Linked DNA regions of Mus musculus: regions 1, 2 and 4 are each reported to be linked to region 3. The links are microRNA targets in miRTarBase. Many come from high-throughput screens and were not tested one by one. Region 3 holds a microRNA gene; each other region holds the end of a gene's coding sequence. Distances are between the middles of the regions.
What was found. The annotated mature microRNA mmu-miR-1942 reads UCAGAUGUCUUCAUCUGGUUG and lies in region 3 at 2,328-2,348, shown strand. An mRNA with a match to its seed (bases 2 to 7 or 8) in the 3' UTR can be bound and repressed. Matches are read on the target gene's strand: a 7mer-m8 pairs with bases 2 to 8, a 7mer-A1 pairs with bases 2 to 7 and ends in A, and an 8mer does both.

Region 1 (3,815 bases), not on the chromosome of region 3:
CATATACATGTAACACACACACACACATATATATACAGACATAAAATTCCATACTATACTTATTCATAACATGCTTGCATTCTCAATCTTTCTGGTTTTTATGTATATAAAGGTTTACTTGAAAGTTTTGCCCAGTCCTGCTATTTATTCTTAGTTCCATTAGTTTCAGCTCATGTCTTAATAAATATATTTGAAATTACAAATTCTATTATGTGTCTTAACCAGGTCTTACAGACATTATTGCACCGTTTTCAGTTTGAAATGTCTTAGCTTAGTATTTTTTTCCATTTAGCAGGTAGAAAAACTGGGAAACTAATATACTAAATATTAGATTCAATACTGATTCAATACTTATATAAGTAGAGACTAACTTCTGATAATACAAAACTGTGGTAGCATTTAAAGGATGTCTAACTCAATTTGGGAACAAAATTCCTGATGAAGTAGTAAAATCAGTAGCTGGCTTGACACTAATATCTCCTTTGAAGTCTTTGAGACCAATCACAGGTACAGTCACAGTGACATAGGTACACTCACAGGGACATCTAATTGAGCTGGATGATTCTGTTAGGTGACACCATCTTGACTCTGTGGTGCAAGTGACAAAAGCCTATATAAACAGCAGAAACAAATATATCAAAACACTGTAACCAAGTTTCAAGCATGGCAGGTGGTCAATAGGTTTTCAAGAGTCAGGAGAATATCATTAGCAGTATTCATCTCACCTTTATCCTTTTGTACTATGCTTGGTTCACATGGTTGCCAGCATTTCATGGGATCCTGTCTCCCAGTTTTAAGAACTTAGAATCAACCTGAAAAAAAAAAAATCCTAGAAACTGGCTGATTTGAATCACACCCCTCTATTTTTACTGCAGTCACTGAACAGGAAAGAGTTTGGTCTAAGAAAAGTAACCTCAGGCCATCACTTTCCTCATACATGGTTTATACTGAAACCTAACAGTAGGTGTGGAGAATGAAGGGATATATTCCAAAGGAGACTGCTAGTTCATAAGACATAGTGTTCTAGAGAAATAGTGTATTATATGTCCTGTGTATCTACATTATAAGTGAGGTGGCTACCTTGTGTCTGAAAAATCGACTATAATAACTTTAACCTTGCCATTACACACAAAGAAGTGGAAGGAGCCATTTTAATTGGGGTGATAATGGGAATGGGGCTTTACACAGGTAGAGAGGAGATAAAATAATTTTATAATTTGAACATATCTTTGTAATAAAGAGTCCTTTAAGGGAAAGGTAGAAGAAAGAATGTAAGATGCCTGAGAATTAAAAAAAAAACACTAATTCAAATACACAGATTTCTTTTTCCCCCTGAAAGATAGAACATGAAGTTGGATGGGTGGGAGGTGGAGGGAAAGGAGATGATATAGAAAGAGTTGGGGGTAGGGAATCGTGTAAAAAGAATAAAGTCAAAATATATTGTATGAAAAATCCAATAAACAACAAGAACAATCATTTTAAAAAGCATAATTAGTAGGGCTATTAAGTCATGAGACTGGCATTTAGTAAGAATCTATCTATCTATGTCCCTCTTCATCACTCACTTTAATTGGAACATTATTAGCCATTTCCAATTAAATGGAAATGACCTTTTTTGGAGAATATAGAGAAAATGTTGAGACTTTTAGAACCCTTGTGTAGTAACAACAGTAGGACTGCAGATGTAACACACACACACACACACACACACACACACTCACTTGCCACTTAGCTAGAATACACACTGACTACACAATGTTTTCCTAATCTAAATTTTCCTACAGCCAGGACAAACAGCTGTGTAAACCACACAACTTTCTAAGATTGAGGTGACTTTCTACATACTTAAATAGCAAGCAAGACAGAGAAACATTTAAAGCTTAATTAATAACAACAAGAACCCTTGATATGACAAGTACAGTATCTATAATATATTACAACATACATATTACAGTTAAATTATATGTACACATACAGAGTATCAAAATACCTTTTCTACTTTGGCAACTAAATACTCGAGATTAAAAATAAACAAGTTCAAACATTTCTACATACAAAATTTTTAGGTTTTCATTTACTAAAAATGAAATAGTACAAGTTTGCTACCCTAATATATACATCAAAATAAATACTTTCAATTGTAGAAAATAGAAATGGCTAAAAGTCTCAAATTTCTTAACATTATAACAACAAATAGTTTACCCTGAATTTGTAGTATGTTTTTGTTAAAAAATATATTTACTTAATCTTAAACTCAAGTCAATGTACTTTAATTCTTTTTGAAGAGACAAAATACTAAAGGACAGGTCTACACCAGCTAAGAAATAAAATTTACAGCCATATAGGTATAAATGTAATCATTTAAAACACAAATGCAGTATTATAAAAATCTATAAGACACCCAGGTACACTCCACAAAAATATAAATGCACATATGCATTCTACTGATTATCAAAAACTCTGATTTATGTAGCTTCTACAAAATGTCAAAGAATAGGAATTGTTTTCTTTTTTATGAAATGATCTCATTGTGCAGCTACAGGCTAGCCTCAAACCCACAGAACCTGCTTCTGTCTCCAAAATGCTGGGCTTGAAGGTCTTGCTAACACACTTGGCCTCAGTACTGTTTTCCTAATATAGTATATAAATATTTCTACCTCAACCACAAATATCAGTATCTGTTAGTAAAAAATGGAATATACATAGAAAGGTAGGCAATGTCATGTATTCAAGTTTCCAAGTTTGATTTCAATTCAAATATTTTCTGTAACTGATAAACTACATAAACAAAAGTAAAAAGATGAAGTAAACATCTTATACATTGAAGAAGTGCCCTCTATAAGGTCTTCCATAATGATGATAGTAAGTATCTGATCACATTTCAAAGTCTTCTGAGTCAGCAATTTCGTTTCTGCTACTTCAAAAACCATCATGACTTTCACCAACAACGTTGCTCTAGTGTAGGTTTACATGAGGCACCATGCCACAGTGAGAGCAGCGACAATACCATTCAAAATTGCCATGCTGTAGCCCATGTGGAAAGAATGTCCAGTCAGTTTCCTAGTGAAAAAGGGAAAGAGCACAAATTAAGAAAAGGGAAAAAAAGAACATGTAATTTGGTATGAGAAAACGAGTAAGATCTAAAATAAAACTAGTAAATACTAAAATACTTAAGATATCACAATGAGTTGTCATATCCCCCCCCCACCTCCCCCCCCCACCCCCCCCAGACAGTGTTTCTCTGTGTAGCCCTGGCTGTCCTGGGTAGACCAGGCTGGCCTCAAACAGAAATCCACCTGCCTCTGCCTCCCAAGTGCTGGGACTAAAGGTGTGCACCACCATTGCCTGGCTAGTTGTCCTGTTTTATACATTAGTGTATAAGTTAAAAAATACTGGACACTTGCAGGATTTGTACAGGATTATCCATCTTAAATTCTCTTTTAAAAGTCTTCGTAGGGACTGAAAAGGTGGGTCAGTGGTTAAAAGAGCTTCCTGCTCCTCCAGTGGACTGCCCAGCACCCAAACTGGGTGGCTCATTATTGCCTATAATACCAGCTCCAGGACATCCATAGGCATCTGAACAAAGGCACAAATGGCAAACACAGCACATACACAAACACACATTACAATCTTAAAAATAAGCTAACAAGAAAGTCCTGATTTCCTGGATAAAAATGTATTTTTAATTTTATTAGTACAAAGTCGATTGTGTGTGTAGCATCAGCAAATTTGTTACATTACAAGCAAGTCTTCTACTAATAGCACTTCCCTGCCCTCATTCTTATTTAGCGCTAGCTTAAATAGATGTTTCTCCA
Region 2 (3,815 bases), not on the chromosome of region 3:
AACCACTCCTCAGATCTTCAGGGCCTGCAGGCCTGCGGCATCACAGCAGTTCTCAATGTCTCTGCCAGCTGCCCCAACCACTTTGAGGGTCTTTTCCATTACAAGAGCATTCCAGTAGAAGATAACCAGATGGTGGAGATAAGTGCCTGGTTCCAGGAGGCTATCAGCTTCATAGGTAGGGGAGCCTCAGCCCAGGGTTCTGTGGGAACTGTAGGGGAGAAGGTACAGGCACCTGATTCCTCTGTCCACCTTCCTGTCTGACTCTCGGCTCCACATTTCTTTTTCAGACTCGGTGAAGAATAGTGGGGGCCGGGTGCTGGTGCACTGCCAAGCTGGCATCTCTCGCTCAGCCACCATCTGCCTGGCATACCTGATTCAGAGCCACCGGGTACGGCTGGACGAGGCCTTTGACTTTGTTAAGCAACGTCGGGGAGTCATCTCCCCCAACTTCAGTTTCATGGGGCAGCTGCTACAGCTGGAGACCCAGGTGCTGTGTCACTGAGGCAAAGCCCAGCCTGGCCCCACCCACAGCTCTGGCTTTGACTGACTCCTGGGGGAAGCTGCTGTGGCCCAGCTCCTCCCTCCTCATCTTGCCGTCCCACTGGGGTGCTAGGAAATCCAGGATGACGGCTGCTCTGATATGGTGCTCTTCTGAGGTGGCATAAGGGCTGGCCCTTATTTGCTCTCCCTCCTTCGACTTGCAGAAATTAATTTAATTAATTAATTTACTATATTAAAGCCCTTGGTCACCCAAGGGCTCAGAAAACAAGCTGTGACAAGCAGAAACCATGTCTAGGGGTGTGCAGCCCTTGACCCAAAGCTTAAGCCTTGTGCTCCCAGGGGAGCCAGGAAGTGACGTGTGTGTCATGTTACGGACATCTGACTTTTGTGTGTGTGTGTGTGGGCATCTCGCTGTAATTGGTGCTGAAAAGTTATTTGTGTTCAACTGACATTTAACGCTCTCTCCCCAACTTCCTCCCGGCCCTGTGGGCCAGGGAGGGGCGTTGGAAACAGCACTTTATATTTATATAGAACATTGAGGTTGTGTCAATAAAAACAGTGTTTTGTTTAAAAAAGAGCAGTACCACATTGTCTGGTCTCAAGTCTGTGCCTGCGATGGCTGAGTGGTCTGCCTTGGCCTGGGCTGGCCTGGGCTGGCCTGGGCTGGCCTGGGCTGGCCTGGGCTGGGCTCTTTCCCATACAGGTTCTAGCCTGTGGTTGAACTGGGAGGGTTAGGAAGGCCGAGGTCGGCCTCAGCCTCACAGCGGCTCTGTGCATCCCTGATCAGACCCCACATTTACCTAGTGTGTGGTGTGCAGGTATGTGTTGACTGAGGGCATTTAGATCAGAGGGCACTGGCTCCCTGGATGAAGGGTGCATAACCTACCCCTGGCGCCCATTTTCTCTGCTCTGGGTAAAGCACTCAAGAGCTAGGGTTGTTCTGAGCCTTCCTCAGGAATTGTATCAGTTTTTTTTTTTTAATGAATTATTTGGAAATCTCACATCAAGCACCCTGATTGTGCTCACCTCCCAGTTTTCCCACATCTGCTCCCTCCCCTCCCCAGGATGTTCTGCCCCCCCAAAAGGAAAAGGTAAGTCCATTTTGTTTTGTCCATATATTCACTGGAACATGGTTGAATTCTTAGTGGCCCACAGGGAGGAGGAGGAGGAGTCTTTCTTAGCCTTTCTCCATACCAGAAGCCATCAACTGAGGAAGAGCCAGTGAGGGGCGGGGCCAGCTCTCCCACACCCACACCCACAGACTTTAACGTGTTTTCAGGCAGCCTGCCTTAGTGGTAACCACAGGCATCAAGTGGGCTGGCCATATCAGAGCCACTAACCTATTCATGGCTCACAGCAGCTGTCCCTGGGCAGGTGCTACAACATGGCCTCAGGTGGCTACAAATGCCGCTCGCAACAACATGCTTCCACCTGAGCCCCCCTCCCCACCCACCCCAGGCAGCAAAGCCCAGGGACGTCAAATCATTAGTCAGAGGCACAGACTTGCATCTCCATCCTGGGGCAGCAACATGGACTATAGATACCAACATGACTTCCTGAACCTTTAAGGTGGTCTAATCCAGAAAGCAAACCTTTCTTCATCTTGGGCTTCCATGGTTGCTCAGAGCTAGCGGGATTTCAAGGCCAGGCAGAAGGTCTGGGGAGCTGAGTCTGCATCAGCATAAGCTCCAGGCTGCCATTCTGCCAACCTTCCTGGGCAATGACAGCGTGTCCACCAGCCCTCTCTCATCCGTCACCACCATCAATCACATCTCCAGTTTCGCCTTTCTCCGTAGCACACACACACTGCTTAGTTTTTCTATGTTCCCCACTATTCATCTTATATCTGTTTATTGTACTGGTGCCCGCCTGTACCAGGCCATGAGGCAGGCAACCCTACCAGTTTCTATTGGGACCTGTGGACTTGATGCCCAGCTCAGGGTGGACACCTGCGTCCCAGAGTCATTAACCTTTCATTATCTTATACATAGCATGGCTGGTTGCTGGCGGTCCCATTAGACCTATTCCTTGCCCTTCTGTGTTTCTAACATCTTACCTGCCTAGCAAATGGCCTTTCTTTCTTTCCTCTCCTCCCTCTCTTCCTTCCTTTCCTTTTTTAAGACAGTCTTACTATGTGGCCTTGATTTGTCTGGAACTGAATATGTAGACCAAATTGACCTCAAACTCACAAGAGATCCACCTACCTTTGCCTCCCAAATACTGTGTATGAGATTTTCCACTAATGTGATGATAATGATTTTAGTAAGCACATTTAAGTAGTTAGGTCATTGTTTTAAATATATTTTTGAGATGGCCCCTCACTATGTAGCCCAGGCTAATTTTCAATCGGTTCTACGGGATTTCAGGTGTGAACCACCATGACAACTCATGTCGTCGTTTTCTTCTTCTTCTTCTTCTTCTTCTTCTTCTTCTTCTTCTTCTTCTTCTTCTTCTTCTTCTTCTTCTTCTTCTTCTTCTGTTTTTCAAGACAGGGTTTCTCTGTGTAGCCCTGGCTGTACTGGAACTCACTTTGTAGACCAAGCTGGCCTCAAACTCAGAAATCCTCCTGCCTCTGCCTCCCACATCCTGGGATTAAAGGGGTGCGCCACCACCCCTGGCATCTTCTTTTTTAATGGGAAAAAAATGGAGTGTTTAAGGTACTTGACAAGCTTTGACATATATAAGCACTGTGAAGGAATGAGTCTGCTGGTCAAGATAATTAGCATATCCATCGGATTCCTGGAAACCAGTCTAGATTCTGCTCAGGCATCAGCAGCATCTGCTTTTATTATAGCCCCTCTGTCTGGCTCTAGCTTCTACTTCTTGAGAGATGTTTGCCCCAGGCTCAGCAAGAATGCCAACAGGTCCTTGTGGAGCTCTGGCTTTCCTTTACTGAACATGGGGGTGGACTTGGTATGTTCCAGGCTGTCCATCCAGGCCGGGTCTCTGGATGGCAGGATGTAAAGGAAGAAAGTCTGGGAGCTTTGTATTTTGAATTAGTGAAATGGGAAGGGGCCCTGGCCGATCATGTCAGTGGGCAGTGGCATTGGAAGGACCACAGTCATATGAGCGTCTAAGAGTTCAAAAGTGTCCCCTCTGCAGTGGGGGGCGTCTCTGGGTGCTGATGATGCTGGTGTTCAGTGTGAAGTTTCTCAGAGTCTTGCAACCTGTGTACTTTCCTATATGGCTTCTGAAATAAAAGCTTATAGCTGGGCATAGTGACACATGCCTTTAATCCCAGCACTCAGGAGGTAGACACAGGCAGCAGGCAGATCTCTCTGAGTTTGAGGCCAGCCTGGTCTACATACTGAGTT
Region 3 (3,815 bases):
ATATGCCCCCAGCCCTCCATTTCTTCCTGTGATGTCACCAGCAATCTCTCTAAGCTTATTATCCCCAACCCCGCCCGCTCTTTCTCTTAAATGTTGGTCTCACTGTATTACCCAGGATACCTTAATTGCTCCTTGGTTGAAGTTATCTTCCTGTCTTGGCCTTTAAACTAGCTGGGGTGGGGCCGTGCCGTGCCACTACATCACATTCCCTCCTCCATCTTTCTAAATTTCAGTTAGTCAGGCAGTTCTGGGCTTTTTCTCTCATATGCCTCAAAATCCTGCAGTTTCCATTACCAAATCTTAAGCCATTTCCACATTTTGAATTGTTTGTTTTGTTTTGTTGAGACAGGGTCTCAACTATACATCCCTTGCTGACCTGGGACTAGCTATGTACTGGTTGTATCCCTGCTGCATTCAAACTCAGATCTGCCTGCCTCTGCTTCCTAAATGCTAGACTAAAGGTGTGTGCCACCACACCCTCCCTCCAGGTGTGCATTTTCAGATATTTGTGACAGCAGCACTCCATATCTCATGATATTATCCACATCAATTTCCTTGGTCCTTTGAGACCACAGCAGGCTAGAAGCCCAACACCCAAGTATTGGTGGGGTCCTCCCTGGAGGCATTCTGGAAGAATCTGCCATCCCTCCAGCTGCCCTGTTCCTTGGCATATTCTGTCTCCTCCCAGTCTCAGACTCTGTGTCTTTCCCCCTCTCTCATAAAGACACTCTTCCTTAGACTTCGGACCACCTAAATAATTCAGAATGGATTCTTAATTAGAGATCTGTCTCCAAGGAAGGTCACATTTATGAATTTCAAGGGCACAGACATGTTTTGGGAGCCCACCACTTAATTCCAGCTTCAGACTGCCCTCTAATATTTGATTGATGTAGGTCTTAAGCATGTTTTCTTTATGCCCTACATTTATTACTGCGTTTTCCTTGTGGCTTTATGATGTAATGTTAGGAAGTACTTTAGACCGTTGTATCTATTTTTTAGTCACTAGGAATTTTATTTTTTTAATGTATGAGTGTTTTACCCTATGTATGTGTGTGCAGCTCTTGCATGCTTGCTGCCCTCGGAGGCCAGAAGAGGGTGTCAGCTCTTCCTGAACTGGAGTTTTAGATGGCTGGAGCCACCATGTAGGTCCTGGGAACATGGGTTCCCTGAAAGATTAGTAAATGTGATTAACCACTAAGCCATCTCTGCAACCCAGTCAACTAGGGCTTTATCTACATAAGGTGTGTAGCTGTCTTTTGCTACTTTGTGGGTTCTTCTTTGACTCCCCCCCCCCCTTTTCACCATTTCAACCCCCCGCAACACTAGATAGGAAAGAAAAATAGGTAGAGAGGAAAGGAAAGAAATCCTGGATAAAGTCCGGAGTCAGAAAGAGAACATTATCTCAGACTACTTCTTGCTGATTAGGTAGCCATCAGTATATCTAATTTCTTCTTGTTGTTTCTTCTTTGAGCACATCTACTTAACAAACCATGACCAACAACACACAACAACCCACCAATAACGCCTCACCTCTTGGGGCCCTAGCATTTATATACACTCTAAAAAGTCCCAGAATTCCAAATGTGGCACCACACAATTACAGAAACTACCTGCAGCTGGCAAAGTCGTGCCTCTGCTAGAGCATGAGGCAAATCATAGTCAGCTGCTGTGGACAATCTGAGGCAGCCCCATATTCCACACCTGGGATTAAAACGAAAACATAGTCTTATAATATTTCTGTGTCTTTAAAGAAACAAAAACTCCAAAAATTTCCCTACAAAGGTGTCCTGTAAATTTTAGAATATATATATATATATATATATATATTTCTCTTTCTTTCTCTCTCTCTCTCTCTTTCTTTCTTTCTTTTTTTTGAGACTGAGTTTCTCTGTCATATCCCTTGGAATTGGGGATCCAAAGTTCAGTTCCCAGAGCAACAAGTGCTCTTAACTGCTGAGCCATCTATCCAGCACAGGCTTTTGAAACTTAGTTTTTTGAAACGGTTTCTCTACATAACCCTAGCTATCCTTGAACTCACTATGTTAGACCAGGCTAGCTTTGAACTTCGTTTATCTGCCTCCCAAATGCTGGGATTAAAGACATGTACCACTACACCTAACTGGTGTACACCTGGCCCATATTTGTAAATTTTTTTCCCCCTGAGACATGTTTTCTCTGTGTGGCCCTGGCTGTCCTAGAACTCTCTCTGTAGATCAGGCTGGCCTTGCTTCCCAAGTGCTGGGATTAAAGTCATGTGTCAACATTGCCTGGTGAGACTGGATATTTGAATAAAGAGAAGAGGCCTATTTAATGTTAGACATCTAACCTCAGATGTCTTCATCTGGTTGGCCTCTTGTAAGGAGGGAGGGGCTTTGGGCTGCAGTAGAGCCTGGTAAATAGCAGCACATGGGGAGCTAATAGCTGTGGAAGAGAGATCCTGGGAAGATCCAGCCGCACAGAGAACAATCTGCTCTGAGAGCTAATCCCGTCCCTGGAGGGACAGCACCCCTGTGAGACTACATTAATCCTTCTTAAACAGCTAATTACTTCGCTTAAGGTCTGCTGCCTCAATCCCTTTACCTGGAGGAGTTAAGCCTCAACAAGAGTTTTCGTGGGGACAAACCATATTCAGACCAGTGCAGTGGACACATTTTTGATTAAATCATTTCCCTCCCCTAGAACATCGAGGTTATTAGTAGTTGTTTTTGTTTTTTTTTTTTGTTTGTTTGTTTGTTTGTTTGCTGCTGCTGTTGTTGTTGTTAAATAAACTGCTATAGATGAGATGGCTCAGATGGTAAAGGCACGCACTCCTGAGCCTGATGGCTTGAATCCATCCCCAGGACCCACATGGTAGAAGGAGGGGGCAAGTCTTCTGACTTCCACTGTACAGCACACGCATATAAATAAATAAATAATAAATAAATAAATAAATAAATAAATACTTTAAAAGGAGACTAGTACAGTGAGGAGCTTCGTGTCAGGGTCACTGTCATGTCTGTGACTATTGTTGACATTTCAGATTTTCAAAAATTTCAAAATTTCACACCAAATTGCAGTTACTGTGTTGGTAAAAGTCCAGAGGTCTGGACCTCTGAGCCTTGTTAAGGAGATGGCAAACAGATGTGTGGAGGTGTCCGTCAGATGTAACATGTATACAAGCAGGAAACAAGAGCCCCCCTTCCTGTGTGCCTACTTAGGAAGCAAGGGTCATGTGTTTTACCGATCCGTGTGAGGGACCACCATGGTACAGGGTTGATGGGAAAGCCAGGGTCAAAGCATGTATGTAGGATTTTACGTTAAAAGACGGAAAATCAAGTTCCAATTAGTGTTTGCTTGATTTTTTTTTTTTACCATAAGGAAACCGGAGGAACAGGAAGTGATTATATTTCACACTGTGTTTGGGATCACAAAGGGACAGGATTGGAGGAAGACTGTTAACTCTCTACTGTTGATATTTGATTTAAATGACGACACACACACACACAAACACACACACACACACACACACACACACACTTTTTCCTTTTTCTTCCGAGACAGACAGTGACGCTAGCCTAGAGGGGCCTAAAACTCTCCATGGAGCTGGAGATGACCTTGAACTTCTGGTCTTCATGATTTTTCTACTCAAACCTGTTTCTTGTTTTGTGTTTTTAAAACACCCTCCTCCCCTTGAGCCTCCAGTGCTGAGGGTAGAATCCAGGGTCCCTGTGTGCTGGGCTGATGCTCCACTGATCCACATCCCCAGCCCTCTATCCAGACAAGTTTGAACTGCTCACTTCAGCTGCACATATAATTGGAACAACACAGAGAATATC
Region 4 (3,815 bases), 22 Mb from region 3:
GGGGTCATCCTTGGGCAGCCGCTCTCTCTTCTTTGTGAGACAAGCTCTCACTGGCCAGGAACTTAACAAGTGTCCTGGGCTGTCAGACTGGCCCCAGCGATCTGACTGTTTCAGCATGGGAATTACAGACAAGTTATTAGGACAAGCAGTTCATGCCCTGAGCTATCCCTCCAGCTTTTGTTTGCTTTACTTTTTGGCTTTGCTGGCCTGGAACTCATTATGTAGCCCAGGCTAGCTCCAAACTCCTAAAGATCCCCATGCCTCCACCTCTTGGGTGCTGGAGTCAAGGCACGCACCACCATGCCTGGCCATTTCTTGTTTCTTGAAACAGGGCTTGGAACTCTCCATCCTCCTGCCTCAGCTTCGGAAGCTCCCGGATTATAAACGCGCACCACCATATCCAGTCTGTTTTAGTTCCTTTTGACCCAGAGAAGGGGTACTATGCTGAGATAGATCTTGGTGGGCGGAGGGACCTTCTTTCTTCAGACTTTGCATCCACTGCCCTCCTGACTCTGTGGTGGGAGAGACAGTAGTCTGGGGACTTGGATTGAGAGGATGTGAGGTAGGGGAGGGGAGAGAGCTGAGGCTGCTCCCCGGAGAGAGAGGTAGGCGTGGTGACCTGACCATGGCACCTCTCTCTCTCTTTCTCTGATGGCTCTCCCTTCCTCCAGGTTCTGAGCAGTCCCTGAGCACCCGGAGTCCAGCCAGCACCTGGGCTTATGTCCAGCAGCTGAAGGTCATTGACAACCAGCGGGAACTGTCCCGCCTCTCCCGGGAGCTGGAACCATGAGGAAGGACTGGCTGGAGCAGGCACTCTCTCCGAGGAAGCCAGAGCCTGTGCAACCAAGAGGTCCAGAGGCCAGCCACAGCTGGGCAGGGCTCTCCACAGAGCGGACTCAAGGCCCTGGAGTGGGCAGTGTCGGGGCAGTTGTCCCTGTGATGACTGTCAGCTATGGAGATCTTTGTTCACGGCCAAGGAAAGGGGGGACATTGAGGCCATGCCGTGGGTAGGAGAGCTGGGAGGTACAGGACTCTGGATCAGTAGAGAGCCCTCCCACCGGGCCTTCTGCGCATCTGCACGTCTGTACATCTGCATGTTTGCAAGTCTGTACGACTGTACGTGCAGCTGTACCATCCAGTGGTCGCCAGGCCTCGTGCTTGTTTTCACTGGGGCCAGTGAGCTCACATCTGCACAGTTTGTGTGTGTGTGTGTGTGTGTGTGTGTGTGTGTGAGAGAGCCCTGGGTGGGGCCTTGCCTGGGAGAGGGTGGAGAGTTCTGCTTTTCTCTCCACACATCTGAGATAAACAGCTGGGTGTAGGCAGGGCTGTTGCCTAGAGCGGTGGTCTCAGAGGAGTTGTATTGTTTCCATAAATTAACAAAGATACGTGTGTGTTCTACCGCCTGGGTGTGTGGCTGGGAAAGCTGGTGGAGGAGGTTGCTCCCTGGGTACAGAAAAGCAGACACCCACCATCTATCTCGGGCTGGGCTCCAGGGAGGCTAGCGGTTGCTCAGATGGGCTCCAGTGTTGTCCCAGGCACTTGGGGGACCCTCAGCTCTCTGAAAAAACAAAAGAAAAAAAAAACCATATATATATATATATATATATATATATATATATATATATATATATATATACACACACACACATACACAGAGACGGAGAGAGACACTATGAGAGTCCAGCTGCAGCTAACATCCTCTATTTTCCCCTCCCAGCAGATAGCTCCTGATCCTGTTAGGTGTCAGATGCTGAGCAGGGGCCTCAAGGGGGTGAGAGAAGAGACTAGACAGAAGACTGGGAGGCCTAACCAATTTCTTCACCTTGGCGATGAGTGTCCTGCCCCCCCAACGCCCCCCCCCCCCATCCCACATGGGCTGTGGAGGTTAAGGCCCTCTTTTCCCGGCCTCTTCAGTCCCTGCCTGGACACAGATCCAGGCCTAGAACCTCCACAGAGGACTGCTGCCCTCTCTACTCTCCGTGCTGGGAGCCTGGCAGCTCTAGACGCATCTGATCTGAAAGCTCCCAGCCTCTAGGATGACCCTGTGTAAACTCCAGGCAGCAGGACTCTCAGGTGTCTGAGGAGGTCTGCTCACAGCAGCGGGCCGGAGGCAGCTGGGGCAGCCCTGTTCTTGTCCTACGGGTGCAGTGGCAAGGCTCAGACTTGACACACTCCTCCCCCCCTGGCCTCCACACTGCCAGACACTTCACTCTGACGTCATGTCAGCGGGCTCCCAGGAGAGATCCAAGCTGTTGGCAAGGACTTTACACCTCAGGTCTAATGAACCCAGGTGTACCAATGGTCTTTCTTGGCCTTCGTTTGTCCATCTGTAATATGGGTATGATATCTGGTCGTTAAGTGACAAACAAGACAGCAGGTGTTGCCTTTCCCAGAGTGACTGTCCCAGTCCTGTGTGTGTGGCCCCGGAGGACAAGCTGCATCTCCCAGAGTAGAGTCTGACACAGCTCTCGGGATGGATTGACTGCCAGGGATGACCAAACCAGTTCCCTCGCCCGTGGGCAGGGAGGGAAGATCTGATGGAAGAGACCAAAGCTGAGCAATCATGAAATCAGGCCTAAGCATCCGTGAGTCAGGAAAGAGTCCCTGGAGCATTCTTGTCCTCCCAGCCATTGTCAGTGTGGCAGTGGAGACCATGCCTGTCAGTCTCAGCTCTGCTCCCATCATGGACTCGGGTGAAACCAGCCCAGCGATGAGACAGACGTTGTCCTCTCCTCGCTGGACACACCTACCTTCTGATCAGAAGTCTGGGCTCCTTGTGGGTCTTCCAGCTTAGACAAGCTGCAGCTTCCTAGCCATTCTACCCCAGGCTGGACCTCTTTGAGCCTGATGGGAAAGACAGAAGAACTCTCTGGACAGGCAGGGAGCACAGACTTGGGGAGTGGATGTCCGAGCCAGGTCACCGCTGGAAGACAGGAGGCTCAGAGTACAGAGTCCTCGTGGCAGCAGGCTCCTGGTGTTCAGGCAGAGGGTGGGGAACCTGCTCCTGCTCCCTAGAAGCCCAGGGTGCGTATGGGTGGGTGGTGGTGGAGACCAAGATCACAGGTCTGCTGAGACAAGGGAGAAAGCCCTAGAGCTAGCCTTTGAAAAACCTGTCACCTAAAGAGGTAGAGCATAGGCGTGTGAGTGTGTGTGGACAAGAGCTGAGCAACCATGTATCCAGGCCCAAGTGTGTGTGTGACTGTGCGTGTGTCTCTGCGTTTGTGTGTATATGTGTGTCTGTGCATGCTTGTGTGCCTCTGTGTGTGTGTGTTATGGATATATGTGTGTGTCTGTATGTATGTGTAGGTCTGTGTCTGTGTATGTCTCTGTGTGTGTGTATGTGTGTCTGTGCATCTGTGTGTTTTGTGTATGTGTGTGTGTGTGTGTGTGTGTAGGTCTGTGTCTGTGTATGTCTCTGTGTGTATGTGTGTCTGTGCATCTGTGTGTTTTGTGTATGTGTGTGTGTGTGTGTGTGTGTATGTCTTTGTGTATGTGTGTGTATGTCTCTGTGTTTGTGTGTTTGTGTCTGTGTGTGTCTGTGTGTCTGCATGTGTGTCTAGTGAGGAGAAGCAGAACGGAAGGAAGTTTCATTGCACCGGTCTGTGACCCTCCCCTTTCCCTTATGGTCCCTGTAAGGGTTATAGCCACAGGCTGAGCTGGGCTAGGACTTCGCTAGGGGAGGTTTTCCTCTAGCAGCGCACAATGCCTGGTGAGGGGTAGATAGGTTGGAGCCAGCCCTCTCCTGTCCTCTAAGCCATTCTGCCCACCATAGGAGGATTAGCACAAAAGTGTGACCCAGCTCAGCTGGGAGGGAG

Region 1: the mRNA of Arl6ip6 is a reported target of mmu-miR-1942. Seed matches in the 3' UTR shown: 7mer-m8 at 1,680-1,686.
Region 2: miRTarBase lists Dusp2 as a target of mmu-miR-1942. Seed matches in the 3' UTR shown: 8mer at 876-883.
Region 4: the mRNA of Rapgef3 is a reported target of mmu-miR-1942. Seed matches in the 3' UTR shown: 7mer-m8 at 1,087-1,093, 7mer-m8 at 1,185-1,191 and 8mer at 1,293-1,300.

What each region holds. Positions count from the first base shown.
Region 1 is chr2:53,216,540-53,220,354 of GRCm38, reverse strand. Arl6ip6 (ADP-ribosylation factor-like 6 interacting protein 6) reads right to left here. Exons shown (of 4, transcript NM_022989.4): 4 at 1,134-3,060. The coding sequence ends at 2,967. Among named protein-coding and RNA genes, the nearest start is that of Arl6ip6, 26 kb to the right of the region's middle.
Region 2 is chr2:127,337,294-127,341,108 of GRCm38, forward strand. It overlaps Dusp2 (dual specificity phosphatase 2), which reads left to right. Exons shown (of 4, transcript NM_010090.2): 3 at 1-175; 4 at 288-1,084. The coding sequence ends at 502. It also overlaps a transcript of Astl not described here. Among named protein-coding and RNA genes, the nearest start is that of Astl, 2.4 kb to the right of the region's middle.
Region 3 is chr15:76,214,154-76,217,968 of GRCm38, reverse strand. It overlaps Mir1942 (microRNA 1942), which reads left to right and starts at 2,296; the gene lies at 2,296-2,358. It also overlaps a transcript of Plec not described here.
Region 4 is chr15:97,742,523-97,746,337 of GRCm38, reverse strand. It overlaps Rapgef3 (Rap guanine nucleotide exchange factor (GEF) 3), which reads left to right. Exons shown (of 28, transcript NM_001177810.1): 28 at 672-1,568. The coding sequence ends at 790. It overlaps Gm33531 (predicted gene, 33531), which reads right to left. Exons shown (of 4, transcript NR_168677.1): 2 at 2,751-2,844; 3 at 1,470-1,558; 4 at 1-512. Among named protein-coding and RNA genes, the nearest start is that of Gm33531, 3.4 kb to the right of the region's middle.